Linked DNA regions of Alligator mississippiensis. The protein of the gene in region 2 purifies or fractionates together with the protein of the main gene of each other region. This does not show direct contact. Links are inferred from orthologs where the notes say so. Each region holds a gene or a part of one and is shown on either strand. Other genes may lie near its edges.

The links. The genes of interacting proteins can lie anywhere in the genome.
Region 1: the proteins of CUL1 (region 2) and COPS7A purify together in Homo sapiens (affinity purification with western blotting; 5 studies listed by BioGRID and IntAct, with this or other methods). This does not show direct contact. The link is inferred for Alligator mississippiensis from reciprocal best matches to the Homo sapiens genes CUL1 and COPS7A.

Annotation. Positions count from the first base shown.
Region 1 is NC_081824.1:243,714,310-243,721,588, reverse strand, and holds the start of COPS7A (COP9 signalosome complex subunit 7a), read right to left. Parts: upstream 3,013-7,279; 5' UTR 2,937-3,012; exon of another isoform or gene 2,861-2,936; 5' UTR 2,794-2,860; coding exon 2,632-2,793; intron 1-2,631.
Region 2 is NC_081828.1:117,827,591-117,835,217, forward strand, and holds the start of CUL1 (cullin-1), read right to left. Parts: upstream 3,002-7,627; 5' UTR 2,923-3,001; intron 1-2,922. UniProt on the Homo sapiens protein: Core component of multiple cullin-RING-based SCF (SKP1-CUL1-F-box protein) E3 ubiquitin-protein ligase complexes, which mediate the ubiquitination of proteins involved in cell cycle progression, signal transduction and transcription.

The DNA of each region.
Region 1 (7,279 bases), on a different chromosome or scaffold from region 2:
GGAGGCTCTGGCAGGAAGATCACTGGGGACTGTGGGGCCACTTTCCTTTCCCTAGTGAGATCCTAAGTCTACAAGAAAAGAGGCAAAACTGAACACAGTACTCCAGATGTAGCCTCACCAGTGCTGAATAGAGGAGAATGATCACTGCCCTTTACCTGGCAACACACCTACCAATGCAACCCAGTATGCCGTTAGCCTTGACAACAAGGGCACACTGCTGACTCATATTCAGCTTATTGTCCACTGTGACCCCTCAGGTCTTTTTCTGCAGAGCTGCTGCCCAGCCAGCCAGCCCCCAGCCTGTGCTGGTGTATGGGATTGTTCCATCCTAAGTGCAGGACTTTGCACTTGTCCTTGTTGAACCTCATTAGATTTCATTTGGCTCAATCCTACAATTAGTGTCTACGTCACTCTGAATCCAAGCCCTATGCTCCAATGTATCTACTACTCCCCCCAGCTTGGTGTTATCTGCAAACTTGCTGAGGGTACACTCTATGCTATCTTCCAGGTCGTTGACGAAGACATTGAACAAAACTGGCCCTAGGACCAACCCCTGGGGCACACTACCTGATACCAGGTTCCAACTAAACATAGAGCCATTGATTAGATACTATCTGAGCCCAATGCTCTCGCCAGTTTTCTATCCACCTCACAGTCCATTCATCCAGCCCATACTTCCTTAGTTTGCCTGCGAGAATGCTGTGGGAGACCGTATCAAAAGCCTTGCTAAAATCAAAGTACGCCACGTCCGCCGGTGTCCCTGCATCCACAGAGCCAGTCACCTTGTCATAGAAGGCAATCAGGTTGGTTAGGCATGACTTGCCCTTGGTGAATCCATGCTGCCTGTTCCTAATAATCACCTTCTTTTCCTCCGAGTGCTCAGAAATGGATTTCTTGAGGATCTGTTCCATGATTTTTCCAGGGACTGAGGTGAGGCTGACTGGTTTGTAGTTCCCTGGATCCTCCTTTTTCCCTTTTCTTAAATATGGGCACTATGTTTGCCCTTTTCCAATCATCTGGGACCTGTCCTGATCGCCATGAGTTTTCAAAGATGATGTCCAATTCCACCAGCCAACTCCCTCAGCACCCTCAGGTACATCCCATCTGGCCCCATGGACTTGTACACGTCCAGCTTTTCTAAGCAGTCCCTAACCTGTTCTTTCACCACTGTTGTCTGCTCACCTCCTCCCCAAACTGTGCTGCCTAGTGTAGTAGTCTGGGAGCTGACCTTGCCTGTGAAGACTGAGGCAAAAAAGGCACTGAGCACTTCAGCCTTTTCTGCATCCTCTGTCACCAGGTTGCCTCCCGCATTCAGTAAGGGACTCACACTTCCCCTGATCCTCCTCTTGCTACCGACATACTTGTAGAAACCCTTCTTGTTACCCTTCATGTCCCTTGCTAGCTGCAACTCCAATTGTATTTTGGCCTTCCTGATTTCATCTCTGCATGGATATTCATGTCTCCAGGCAGAGTTCTACTGGCTCCATGGACTCATATGAGGGCACTGGCCTGTGTACTCTGCTTGGTGTCCTCCCTTGATGGACTTATTATGAACCAATAGCCCTCACTCCTGTCCCAGTTTTGTTTTTATTTGTCCCAAGTAATCAGTGATATGCTCTTAATGGCCCTCATCACCAGGGGATGGCTTATAGCTCTCCTTGATGGGCTTTAGCCCATGTTTCCGGAATGGCACATCAAAAGGCCTGTGTCACAGAGGAGAGGGGCTTACAGTGTTTCCTTGTGCGTGTAAGCCCACACTTCCTCATGGCATAACAAATGGGCCTGCCACACAAGGAAACACTGTAAGCCCCCCTCCTCAGTGACACAGGTCTTTTGATATGCCTTTCTGGAACATGGGCTAAAGCCCATTAAGGAGAGCTATAAGCTATGAGAGAGTTCTTTCTGCGCTTACCTGTTAGAATCAGAACTTCCTAGACCTTAATGCTGGAGGTTGCAGTGGATGGGGTGGAGGCACCCTGGTAATACCCAGTTTACTCCCCCCTAGCAGCTTCCAGCATTAAGGTCTAGGATGTATGGATTCTAACAGGTAAGCATAGAAAGAACTCTCTCACAAGGAGGGTGGTGAAGCACTGGAACAGGTAACTCAGAGAGGTTGTGGACTCTCCGTCCTTGGAGGTTTTTAAAACCCAGCTAGACAAAGCCTTGGCTAAAATGATCTAGCTGAGGATGGTCCTGCTTTGAGCAGGGGGTTGGACTAGATGCCCTCTCAACCCTCACTTTTTATGATCCTATGACTATGACAAGAGAAACGATTGAAGCAGACAGTGGCAAGTAGGAAGGTTCATAAACAGAACATCCAGCAGGGGGGCTAGTGCACAGTGGTCCTCCCTCCCATGCCCAGGGCCAGGGCCATGGATTGCAATGCTTGGTTTGTAAGAACTGGGTAGACAAAGCCTTGGCTGGGATGATCTGACTTTGAGCAGGGGTTAGACTAGATGACCTGAGGTACCTTCCAGCCCCCATCCTCCGTGATCCTGTACCCGGGGCCAGGAAGGCACACTGCCCAGGCACTGTGCAGGGCCAGCCCGTCGGGCCCTTTCCCAAGGGGCAATCAAAGCCCTGGGGTGCAAGCTCCGGCGGGCTCCCCGGGGCCGGGAGGAGGACGCTCACCTCCCGCACGTTAGGCAGGTCCAGCAGCTCCCCGAAGACGTAGATGCCGGGCGCGTCCAGCACCTGGTGGATGAGGCTGGCCAGGGCGGCGCCGCGGGAGGACTTGGCGAGCAGCAGGAACTGCTCCTGGCTCTGCCCCGTCACCTTCATCTCCGCTGCCATGCTGCTGCGAGCGCCCCGCCCCACCGCGCCGGCCCGGCCCAGGCCACGGCCGCGGCACGTCAGCGAGCTGCAGGGACAAGCAGCGCGGGTAGCCGAGGCGGTCCCGCCCGCCGCGCCGCGCCGCGCCACGCCACGCCACCTACCTGGGGACCCCTCCCTGGGCAGCACGAGCGCTCGGTCCCCGGCACTACCCCTCCCCCTTCTCTAGGGTCCGCCCCTTCCAGGAGCGACCACTTCCGGGTTGGTGACATCACGCGAGGCCTCTTACCCCAGCTCTTCTGCGCATTGGTTCCAGACAGGCGTGGTCCCGTCCCCGCCGCTCTCCCATTGGTGGGGCCGGCCCGCTGAGTAACATTGCCCGCACCCATGGAGTGTGGTCTGGGAGGGTTGGCTGCGTTATGCTGTTCTGTGAAGGTGGCTGGTGCGCAGAGCTGCCTAGGCCGGTGGCGCTGTGTAGGCTTTAGCTTGCCCTGAAAGTGACCTGGAGGCTCACTTCCCTCCTGGGGGTAGCCGTGGTGCCGAGCCTTGGGGGTGCTGCTGAGGGTAGTGCCCATCGCCTGGGGGCAATTTTGCCCCCTTCTTCTCTGCTCATGTCGCCAGACTCCCTCAGCCTAAGATGCCTGCTTGCAGGATGTGGTCCCAGAGCAGTTCGGGGCGCTGAGCGCCACAGCTGGAACTCAAGTGTGTGGGGGTGTCTGTCCTAAGCTCTGCCCGTTTAAGGCCTGTGGGGCTCTGTCACGGCTCTCCATGCCCGGACCTGGAAGTGGAAGCCAGTGGTCCTTTACACTAGAGATTTTACTTCAAGGCAGTCCTGTTGCAGGTAATGGCCATAAAAGCCAGTATAGAAATCCCTTTTCCTCAAACATGGCCTTGGACAACAGTTTTTTAACACATTGTAATCCTAACCTATGAGGGCAGGCTGTACTCTACCTGCTAGGTCTGGTCTACAAGAAGTAGTTTTGTGGGCAGAAGTCAGGTCAATAATCAGATGGCAGGCCCACTTAACAGCAAAAGATGCAAAGGTTAGGGCAGTAGATAGCTGAAAAGAAAGAACAAGTCAGAGGTAACTTAGACAAAGTGGATGTTTTCAAATCAGCTGGGCAAGATGAGATGCATCCTAGAGTACTGTACTTAAGGACTTGACTGAGGTCACTGCAGAGCTGCTGCCTATTATTGATGAGATCTGATAACATCCCTAATATGCATAAAGAGTTTTGAATCAGCAGACATGGAAAATTTGCATTCAAAAGTCCTAAAATAATATGCTGTAGTATTTTGCTGGCCTGCTGAGGTGTTTGAAGACTGGAAAACGGAAAATATCTTTATATTTTATATACCTCATCTTTATATAAAAAAAAAATAAAAATGAGCAAGCGGGACCTAGGAAATTACAGACCAATCAATCTAACTCTGATATCTGGAAAGATACTTGAGCATAACATATTTCTAAGCACCTAGAGGATAACAAGGAGATAAGGAACAGCGAACCTGGCTTCGTCAAGAGCAAGTCATGCTTAACCAACCTGATTTCATTCTATGGCAAAGCAACAGGTTCTGAAGGTGGTGGGAGAGCAGTGGATGTAATTTACCTCTAATTTAGCAAAGCTTTTGATGTTGCCTCCCATGATATTCTCATTAGTAAGCAAGAAAATGCAGTCTAAATGAAACTACTGGAAGGTGAGTGCATAAAAGGTTGGATGGTTGTGCTCAAAGAGTAGTCATCAATGATTCACTGGGGGAAGATATCAAGTGGAGTTCTCCAGGGGTCTATCTTGGGTCCAGTATTGCTCACTATGTTCTTTGGAGGATAGAATTGAGTGCATACTTACCACATTTGCAGATGACACCAAGCTGAGTGGGGTAGCAAACCCTTTAGAGGAAAAGATGAGGACTCAAAATGGCCTTGATAAATAAGAAAAATAGCCTGAAATAATTGAGATTAAATTTGAGCAGACAGGTGTAAAGTAGTGCACTTAAGAAGGAACAATCAAATGCACAGATACAAAATGGGGAGTGACTGGCTACACTACTATACTTCAGAAGTAGAGGCCTAGAGGTTATAGTGGACCACAAGCTGAATGAGTTAGCGGTCTCATACAGTTGCAAAAAACACTAATAGCATACTGGGTATCATATGCAAGTCATGAGAAGAGATTCTACTACTTTCAGCACTGGTGAGGCCTCAGCTGGCATACTGTGTCCAGTTTAGGGTACAGCACTTCAAGAAAGACATGGGCAACTTAAAAAAATAAAATTAAAATAACAAAAAGGATTAGAGGTCTAGGACATATGACATACAAGGAAAGGTTGGAAGAACTAGGATTACTCAGTCTGGAGATGAGAAGTCTGAGCGCAGTTTTGATAACATCTCACATACATGAATGAATGCTGTTAATGCTGTGGCAGGGGGTCAGGCTAGATGATCTGTTTAGGTCCTTCCTGACCCTAGCTACTATGAAACTATGAAACAAAAAGGGTTGTTTTAAAGAAGATGGTGACTAACTGTTCTCTGCATCCATAAGAGACAGGACAAAAAGTAATAAGCTTAAATTGCAACAAGTGACATTTAGGTTGCATAATACAAAGCACTTTCTAACTCTGGGGGTGGTTAAGCATTGAGGCTGTGGAATAGAGTGTTAATCACTAGAAGTGTTTAAGTGCAGGTCAAGCAAACATTTGTTTGAGATAGTTTAGATAGAGATGACTCTGCCTAGAATAGAGGGCTGAACTAAGTGGCTTTCTTAAGGTCCCATCCAGCCCTATTTTTCTATGTAGCAGGAGTCAGAGCAGCAAACAATTGCTCCCAGCTGACTCTAGTTTCATAGATGTTAGGGTCGGAAGGGACCTCAATAGATCATGGAGTCGGACCCCCTTACCAAGGGCCTGGCTGCCAATGACCTAAATACTCCCAGGTGGTCCCAGTTGCCTATGTAGGCATGGCTGTCTGCTTATAAGTAAAAGCTCAACCTGATCTTATGAGGCTATCTAATAGAATAGATGCTTCTTTAGGTGTAGACAGAAATAATAATTTTTACCCCATCTGGTCCCTGAAAGCACTCTACAGTTGTGACCAAATACAAGTCCACAGCTGCAGAGTGCTTTAAAAGGGCCCGATCTCATGGTAATCTGACACTGCATGAGGGTTCAGCTGAAGGTGCTCCAAAATAGAGTGCCTTCAGTAACTTGTGTCTGTGCATGCTGGCAGCAGGGCTGGGCTGATGCAGTTTAGCCCTACTCCCAGTGCTATCTTTAGAACAGGAGGGAAGGAAAGGAGCAGAGGGAGCTCGGTTTGGGGTTTTTTTCAGCTGGCACTGGAGGGTGGTCTGGGTGGACTGGAGCCCCCCTGAGGTGGGGGGGAGCTCCAATCCACCTGCCCCACCCTCCAGTGCCAGCTGGGCACCCCCCAGAATGAGCTCTCTTCGCTACCTTTTCCTCCCTCCCATTCTGAAAAGAGCACTGGGTCTGGGCTGGGGCTTGCTAGAGGAGAGCGGCTGCAGGCTTGCGGGAGCTGGATCCCTCAACCACCAGGATACAACAGTGAACATATGTTGGGTCTGTGGGATTGTAACACAAAGAGCTTCCTGCAAAATGCCATGAGTTGCAACAGGGAACTGCTCTTCTGTCTGCACCTTATGTTTTAGCTTTGGACTGCTAACAACTTGTTTTGAGTTTCCTGGCCCCTACCTGTTTGTTAGCATTTTGGGTCCTGCTGATTGGCTCTGTGATTTTATCCTTGTTCTTGCCTGCTGAATCTTTGTTCTAGGGTCTAGCTCTGACTCCTCTGTCTCCAGACTGTCTTGCTGGCTCCTTGATCCATGTGCTTCTAGACCAGGGGCAGGCAATTATTTCGGGTGGAGGACTGCTTACTGAGTTTTGGTAAGCCATCGAGGGCCACATGACAGGCAGCCAGGGGCAGATAAATATTTATTTTCTTATTTTTGGGGGGGGCCTGCAGGCTGGATAGAATGGCCTGGCGGGCTTCATCCAGCCCCCGGGCTGTATTTTGCCCACCCCTGTCCTCTGACAGCTGGCTTCTGTCTCATGGCTCAGTTTGACAATCACCCATGCCCAGTCCTGTATAGCTATATCTGTCTGCTCTGGACCCTGTGGCTAGTGACACTGGTCTGGATTCCTCCTTCCTGCTCCTGACTCTCCCTCCAGCTTGTGGCTCCACCCAGGGTGACTGCCTACATCACAGTCCCTTACAGGCCTACATCCCAGTTGTAATCCTGACACTATAATTCTATGCAAATATTTACCCCACCAAGAACTATACTGAAGAACCTGAAGAAAATGAATTTAATCCAAGAGAAGAAAATGAATTTAATCCAAAAGACACAAAGCAATTATTAGGTAAGACTGACTCTGAGATCCCACCAAACCAGTGTGGCAGACTAGGACCAGTGCCTTAGCAATGAGAAGCCTCAGAGGCCATCTCCCAAGTCCCCTGAGCTAATCCCCTTCTATTTTGGACTGACTTGGAAAG
Region 2 (7,627 bases):
CTGAGTTCATGGCAACTTAACTTCTATGCAACTTTACCCTGTTCATAGCAGATCTAGTCTGCAGTGGTAAAAGCCCTCAGCTGTCAATCCGTACTAGCTCTCCCACCAGAAATGCAACACAACAGTGAGAAGTTAAGAAAGAAACTTTGCACAGACAACTTCTTAATCAAACCTATAATTGTTGTCTCCAATCACCATTTGTTGCTGTTCATCTTATCTTTAAAATATACTGTAGTAACTTAACAGCTAATAGAGCTTTGTCCCTGCCAGAAGCCTTTGCCATCTTTCTGAAACTAGTTCTCACATTCTTAAAATGCAGAAGTGTCTTCCATAACAAAGCTGATTATTGGTTTGCTGGCTGTCCTTCTTTCAAGCTCTGTATAGCAACAGATTGCACAAGTACATTGCCCTACATGTTGCAGATGCATATCCTCCAAGCATTCCCTGCCACTGTAGCACGGTATCTATCCCCCAGAAAGATTTTCCCCCAGATTGAAACCAATACAACATGGTGAATAAAGAATTACAAACATGGCTGTGACAGCAGAAATCTGAATATATCCAAACTTTGCTGTATTATTTGTGATACAGTTAATGTAGTCTCGCCTGTATATAGCTGCACACTCAGTTAAAAGTTGCAGTATAGACACTGTTTTAGCCTCCATCTGTAAAAGGAAAAGCATTCTTGCTCACAACTTTTGTCAGACATAGTTGCATTGGCCTCATAATGCATCTTTTCTACTGACATTTACGGTAACTTGTACAGGAGACGGAAATGTTTTTAATATTACCGAAAAATGTAAGTGACTTGATAATTAAACTAACAGGTCCGCTGCCACATAAGCCACTTCCAGTGGAAGCCAACCTGAGTTCAGGTGGACTCAAGCTAGTTAACCACTGCCACTGATGAGTCATTTCCCTCAAAGACCAGGCCTCTTAAAGCTCCATGTTCTCAAATCTACAATCTGGCACCTGAGAACTATAAAAAAAGAAAAAAAGGACAAACATTAAATAGAACAGAGTGAGTTTCAAATGAAAAGACTATATTATTCTACAGAACTGTATTTCAAATGACATAGAAGTGACTTGGACAATTACAGACAAACTGTAACCACTCTGAATGAATTCAAATCAATTTAAACTAAATCCAGCTATCAAACCAAAGCATCCTCATGAAGGAATCTGACAACTGAGCAAAATCCGTTTTCAAAGTTTTAAGTTGAACTTCCTAGAAATACATAAGTTACATGCGTACGCTCTATGAGCTATGAGAGAGTGAGTAAACTAGAAACATGGTGATTTAGTTAAACCAGGGCAACTGGATGTAGACCCACGCGGAAACTACTTAGCGTTAATCCAATGGGACATTATCTGACTGCAATATTCAAATATGGCAGGTCTTTTGTAGCAAGCATCAACAAAATTAACACCAACAACATAAGGCAACTAACAAAGGACAAAAGGGCCAAGATGGGAACTAAACACTACTGGAAAAATAAGAGACCTCCCAGATCAGAACAGAAAGATACCACTGTGGAGCAAAGTAATACAACTGCTGCACGATCGGTACTCAAAATCTGTAGGGGTGAAATTCACCCAAGAGAAGACCACAAACAGTGTGACCCTACCACAACCTTGGTTGGACTATGTGATCTCTTGAGGTCCCTTCTGGCCTTACTTTTCTATGAAATACATCTCCTCCTTTCCTAAAAATAAAACCACAAAAATGCCCCAAACAACTTGCCCTCCTTATAGATCACCAATTCACAATGCAGCAATGGAAACAAAGCTCCCTGCTTCTACTCTGAACTAAGCCCATCCCCCAGCATTTTCAAAAGAGCAGAGCTTATTAAAGCACTTGGCAGAACAAATAGTTAGTCCCAGGTAGACAGCGTGAGAAAACAAGAGATGGGGAAGAAGTGGGGGGGGGGGGGGGGGGGGGGGGGCAGAGGGGACCTCTACCTGTAGACACAGATTTAGGATGAGGTTTAATGGTAGGTTATGATCAAAGAATGAACGAGTCAAGCTGGGAACAGAGTGATTTAGTTGAACCAGAGCAACTGGCTGTAGACCAGTTCTGAAACTGCCTGGCATTCATGCCTGGGCCACTACATACACTGCTTCAATCTGTCTGCAATCTTCAAATACTCTCAGTCTCGTGTAGCAAGCATCCACACAACACCAACAACCTCTGGCAAGTGAAGTGACAAGACAGGAACTAGAGGCTGCTGGAAAAATACGAGGCCTCTCAATTCCTAATGGGAAGAGGCAACTAGGAAATAATGAAGCTAAGGAAATGCGTGCCTGGTCCAGCCCCCCCGCCCACCACCCTCAGTGCCAAGGGTGAAGTCTGGCAGGGCTAACTACAAAGCTGTGCTACCCCAGGACCCCCATCTGTCCTCCACACCGCGCAGCTGAGCGGTCGGAGACTCAAGTTGGGGGCACCTGGAAGCGCGGCCTGGAAGGAGGCACTGGGAAGGGTTTAAGGAGCAGGGCAGAGGGAGAAAAAGCCTGAACCACCGAGGCCAAGAGCTGCTGGGGTCCAACCCCAGGGAGGGGGAAGGCGCGGGTCGGGGCAGAGGCCGGGGAAGGAGTATGTGAGGGGACGAGCAAGGTGATGGGAGGAGAAATACCGGGGCGGGGGAGTGGGGAAGTGCGCAGCTCCCGGGGGCCGGAGGAGCCTGGGCCACGCCGGGTGTCACCAGGGCCGTAGGGGGACCCGCAAGGCCCAGCCAGGAGCCGCAGGGGGCGGCGCGGGCCTGCGAGGCGGGCAGAGGCCGCAGCGCGGATCGCGGCCCCGGGCCCATCCCCAGCCCGGCGGCAACGGCGGCCCCGCGCGGCACAAAGAGCCGCCGCCACCGCAGGCCTCGCTGCGCCACAGCCGGCCCCGGGCCGGGCCCCGCCGCGCCGCGCCGCACTCACCAGCATCGCGCGTCCCGCAGAGTCAGGCCCGCGCCACGGCCGCCCGCCCCTTCCGGCTCCGCCGGGCCCGGATCTGCCGCCGCCTCCTGGCACCGCCTCTCGCCCGCCCCGCCCCGCCCCGCCCGCCCCTGAGCCGCGAGCCTCGAGCCGCGGAGGGGCGATAGTATGTCCCGCAGCCCTGCACGGCCACGACGGCGACCACGACCCACCTCGGCGCCACACGCACGGGGGAGCCTCGAGCCGCCTGGGTGGGACTCAGCAAGTGAGGGTGGAAGCGAGCCTCGGGGACATCTAGGCCAAGCCCTGCCCAGGGCACGGCTGTCCCCAGCCGGGGCTTTGCTACCTGCGTCTTCACCCCCACTCCCGAGGATGGAGATTTCACCCCCGGTCTGGGCAGCTTGGTCCAGTGCTTTCCCACCCTCCTCCTGAGGGAGTTTTCCCTAATATCCAACCTAAACTTCCCTTGCTGCAACTTGAGCCCCTTGCTCCATCCGAGAACAGTCCTGCTCCGTCCTCCTTGCACCCCCTTCAGGCAGTTGAAGGCTGCTGTGAAATCCCCTCAGTCCTCTCTTCCCCAGTCTAAGCCCAGGCCCCTTGGCCTTCCCCAAGGGCACCTGGCTGGGGGCGGAGGTTACACATAAACCAGTATAAAGTACGATCAGAAACTGTCTCAAACGTAATGCGACAAAGCCAGATACAGACATTACACGTTTACCCATATTAAAGAGTGGAAACTGGTCTATACCCATAACAGACGGTAGGCACACACAACCAGTCTAGACCTGTAACAGAACAGAGGTTCAGCATGCACAGACTAGTTAAAAAATAGCAGAACCCGGTCTAAAATTTGCCCTCCTGCCACCAAAGAGTGAATGTGTGTTGTGTTCACCGCCCACCTAATCTAGGCTGCTTGCAGAAAACCACACAACTTAAATTGACTCTACATCAGACTTTCTGAATGTCTGCACCTAGTCCAGAAGTTCCGGGCACATAAACCACTTCCAGAATGGCCGAAACTGGTTTAAGATGAACCAGATGAAGTATCAGACCTAACTGATTTAGGTTACATTGATTTACTAAATGTCCATCCCAGATCCGCTCCAAATTCAAGATAACTCAGTCCCCAGGATCCTTTTCCCCTCCCCTGCACGCCCCCTTCGCAGGGTGGGCCGACTAGCCTTGGCCCAAGCTGTCTTCTCCAAGCAAGGAAGGGTGCTCCGGTGCCTGCCAGCTTCTGGCACGCGGCTGTATTCTTGAATCAGAAGTGAATGTCTGTTCACTTGCTTATCGGTTCACTTGCTTAAACTAACTTGCAAAGATTGAATCAATTCAGCCTAGGGCCTTTTGACTGTCTGTACTTAGCCAATTGAGTCCAAAAAGGTTGATAGCTCCTGCCTTAGAAGCAGCGAAGCCCGGTAAAGACACTTGTTCCTCTCTCGGCCACAGAGCAAGTGGAAAAAGTGCCCATCTTTTCCTCAGTTTATTATTTTGAGGGCCCTAAGAGGTGAGGAGGATGGAGCGAGGGATGGTTGCCGTGTTAGGCAGACAGACCTATTTGTTACACCATTGCAGAAGCCGCTAAGTAAAATTATAAGCCTTCCTTAAAAAGGAGGCCACTGAGGACATAGCAGTTGATTCCTTGGGACAACTGAAAGAAAAACAGGGAAAGGAGTGAGGGGCATAGGTTTATAACGAGTGCACAAAGTGGGGATACCAAACAGAGCACACAAGTCCAAGGAGCCAGCAGACACTGCCCAGTGAAATCTGCCTGGAGATGTGAATGGATGAAAGAGCGGGAAGCGGCCGCAGTATTGGACAGACAGGAGTCACTGTTACAGCAGAGAGGCAACAGAGAACAGGCCTGGTGCCCTCAGGCAGTGATGCTCAACCCTTTCATCAGGTGGGCCAGATAGGCAGGGTCTGGTCCATCCATGGGCCAGATTGGCTGCTGGTCCCAATCTTGTGCCCTCAGCAGATGGAGTGGGCCCAATCTGGCCACACAGAGGGAAGCGGGGGAACAGCCCGGCCCCAACCCAACCCTGCAGAAGAGGACTTGACTTGGCCCCGCAGTGGGTATAAGGAAACTGAACCCAGCCCCAACCCAGCCCTGTGGGGGTCTGAAGGGGGCTTGACCCTGCCCACACCAGCCCCATGGGGTGGCACCAGGAGGGAGCATGGCCTCGCCCCAATCCAGGTGTGGGGGACAGGGGGCATGGCCTGTCTTCAACCTGCCACATGGGTTTTGGCCATTTGGCAGCTGGGAGGTGGCTGCATTAATAGCTGCCCTGCAGCTCCTCTGCACTGCTGCCACTACGTTGCTGGGCGGCCCAGTAACAGCAGTGAAAAGGAGTTGCAGGGCAGCCTGGGCACGGGCTCTGGGTGGCTGTAACAAGAAGGACCCAGCCATGGCAAAGGGGAGGGACTGCTTTTCCCATATGCCGAGCAGCAGCTTCTGCCCAGCCACTGCTGCTGCTCAGCATGGGCAGGTGGTCAGGAGCAGGCATGCAGTGGGTCTTGTTTGGGGCTGTGCACGTGGGCTCCAGGTGGTCTGCTTCAGCCGGGGCAAGTCTGGAGCAAGTGTGTGGCGGGTTGGGGTTGGAGCTATGTGCTATTAGCAGTGGTGACAAAAAGCTGTGGGGCATGCAGGCTCCGGGCTGTTGTGGGGTAGGGGGTGCTGACTGGCCCAGGGGGGTACATGTGTGGGGAGGGGGGGGGAGGAGGGCTCCCATGTACACCCCACCATACGTACACACCCTCCATCACATTCCCCCACAAAGCCCACAATCCCATGCTCCCCCACACACAACCACACCCCCCACAAACACCACACCCTCCCCCATACTCCTTCCCCACACCCCCCTGCAAATCCCACACCCATCTACCCACATTCCCCCCACAAACCCCACACCCACTCACATGTAGCCACACTCATTAAGAGTGAACAAAACTCATTAACAGTCCCTCCAGCAAAAATAATTGCCCACCCCTGCTGTAGGTAGTATTCTCCCCTGTATGTCAAGCCCCAGCATTGTGAAGAGGTCATCACACTAATAGAGAAAGAGAGCTTTCAATATTCCCAATGGAAGTGACATAGGAGTATGTATCTTACTGTACTAGGAGCATCCTGACAAAATTCCAGTTAAAGTAATTGTGTTTGGATTACTTCCTTCACCAGCCATTTAAATTGCTATCATGTTCTTCTCTTATTAGCATGATTATGAAATGGCCACATCATCAGTGGATGCAGTTTCAATAACTCTGTTTTAGGCTAACCTACACATTTTGTGATAGCTGTACAAGACAGTTATTTTAGATGTAAATGCAGTGCTGTAGCGAGTGCCGCAGTGGGGTGACTGCTCCAGACATGGAAGTGAAGGGGCACCAACAGGCGCTGCCCAGCCAGGACAGGGCATGGGATGGAGCTGCAAGCAGCTTGTTTGGCAGGGCGTGGGGATGGAAGAAGGGCTGCTGTTACACCTCAGCTCTGTATTCTTGGGCAACCCTGGCACAGGATGCAGTCTGTCTGACTCACAAAGGACCCCCCCCCCCACCCCCTCCCTCCCCTCCTCTACATAAACGAAACTGATTAAGATGCAGTGAGAGACGCACCTAAAACTCTCCAGGTAAGGGTGATAAGAGTGAAACAACTGCCCTAGGTCTCATTTACATCCGAGATGGAACCAGATGACCATTCATTTACATGAGAGATGGAAAACAGAAAGCCTGAAGCAGAGACTGCAGTGAATTCTGGGACCAGAGAAGCAGGAGAGCGCTGCATGATGGGGAATCTGTGCTTCCAATGTTAATTAACCCATGTTCACACACACCCAGCTCAGCATTTATCAGACCAGTTCTAATCTGGATTTGCTAAGGACTTTTCTCCCCCCAGACACACACACACAGCTCTAAGTTTAATAGGCATCTCGGGCCATACATTCCCCGGTCCCACTATGGGAGGCCTATTTAAACTTGATTGACTAAAACTCGGTTGCCGGGTTAGGGAATGCTGAGGCAAGAGACCAAGTCCGAGGGGGTATGGGCAACATTGGAACAATGGTTAAGGGTTCATCACAGCATCCAGCCTGCTGGAGCCCTAATCCCAGGTGTTGTCGTATCTTTCCCGAGACGACTGGTGGGAGTCCTCTCCACAAAAGGTTATGAGCACCCCAATAATTGCTTTAAGTCTGTTAAAAGACTATAGTAAAATCTGGAAAAGTCATGCTAAGCTGAGGCTTGTGCACAACAAGTAAAAATCCAAAATCCTGATACTGCAAGCTATCTATTGTTCCTGAAGAAACCATGAGATATCCCATCAGGATATCTGCCATCCATAGGAATCTCAAGCTGGCTCCCAAGTATTTGGGTTACTCCCTAATCTTAAGTGTTTCCTGATTATCAATCAGTTTCCTGAGATGGTCCAAACCAGATAACCCCTTGTCAATAGAAAAGACAATGATTTACACTACTGAGGGTGCTTCGAAGCAGCTGAACTGAGGGTATAAAAATCTGTAAGTGTGTGTGCTTCAAAAAGAAAGAAGTAGAAGAAGGAGGAAAAGAAGGAGAAGAAGAAAGAAGAAGAAAACCCCTGTGCTGACACCATCCCCTGTCGTTCTTGGGACGCTGGAAGAACAGATCATCTCTCTCTTCAAGGATTGTGCTACGGACTGTGCCTGTCAGCTTTGCAGCTTGAGTACCGTGGACTAGG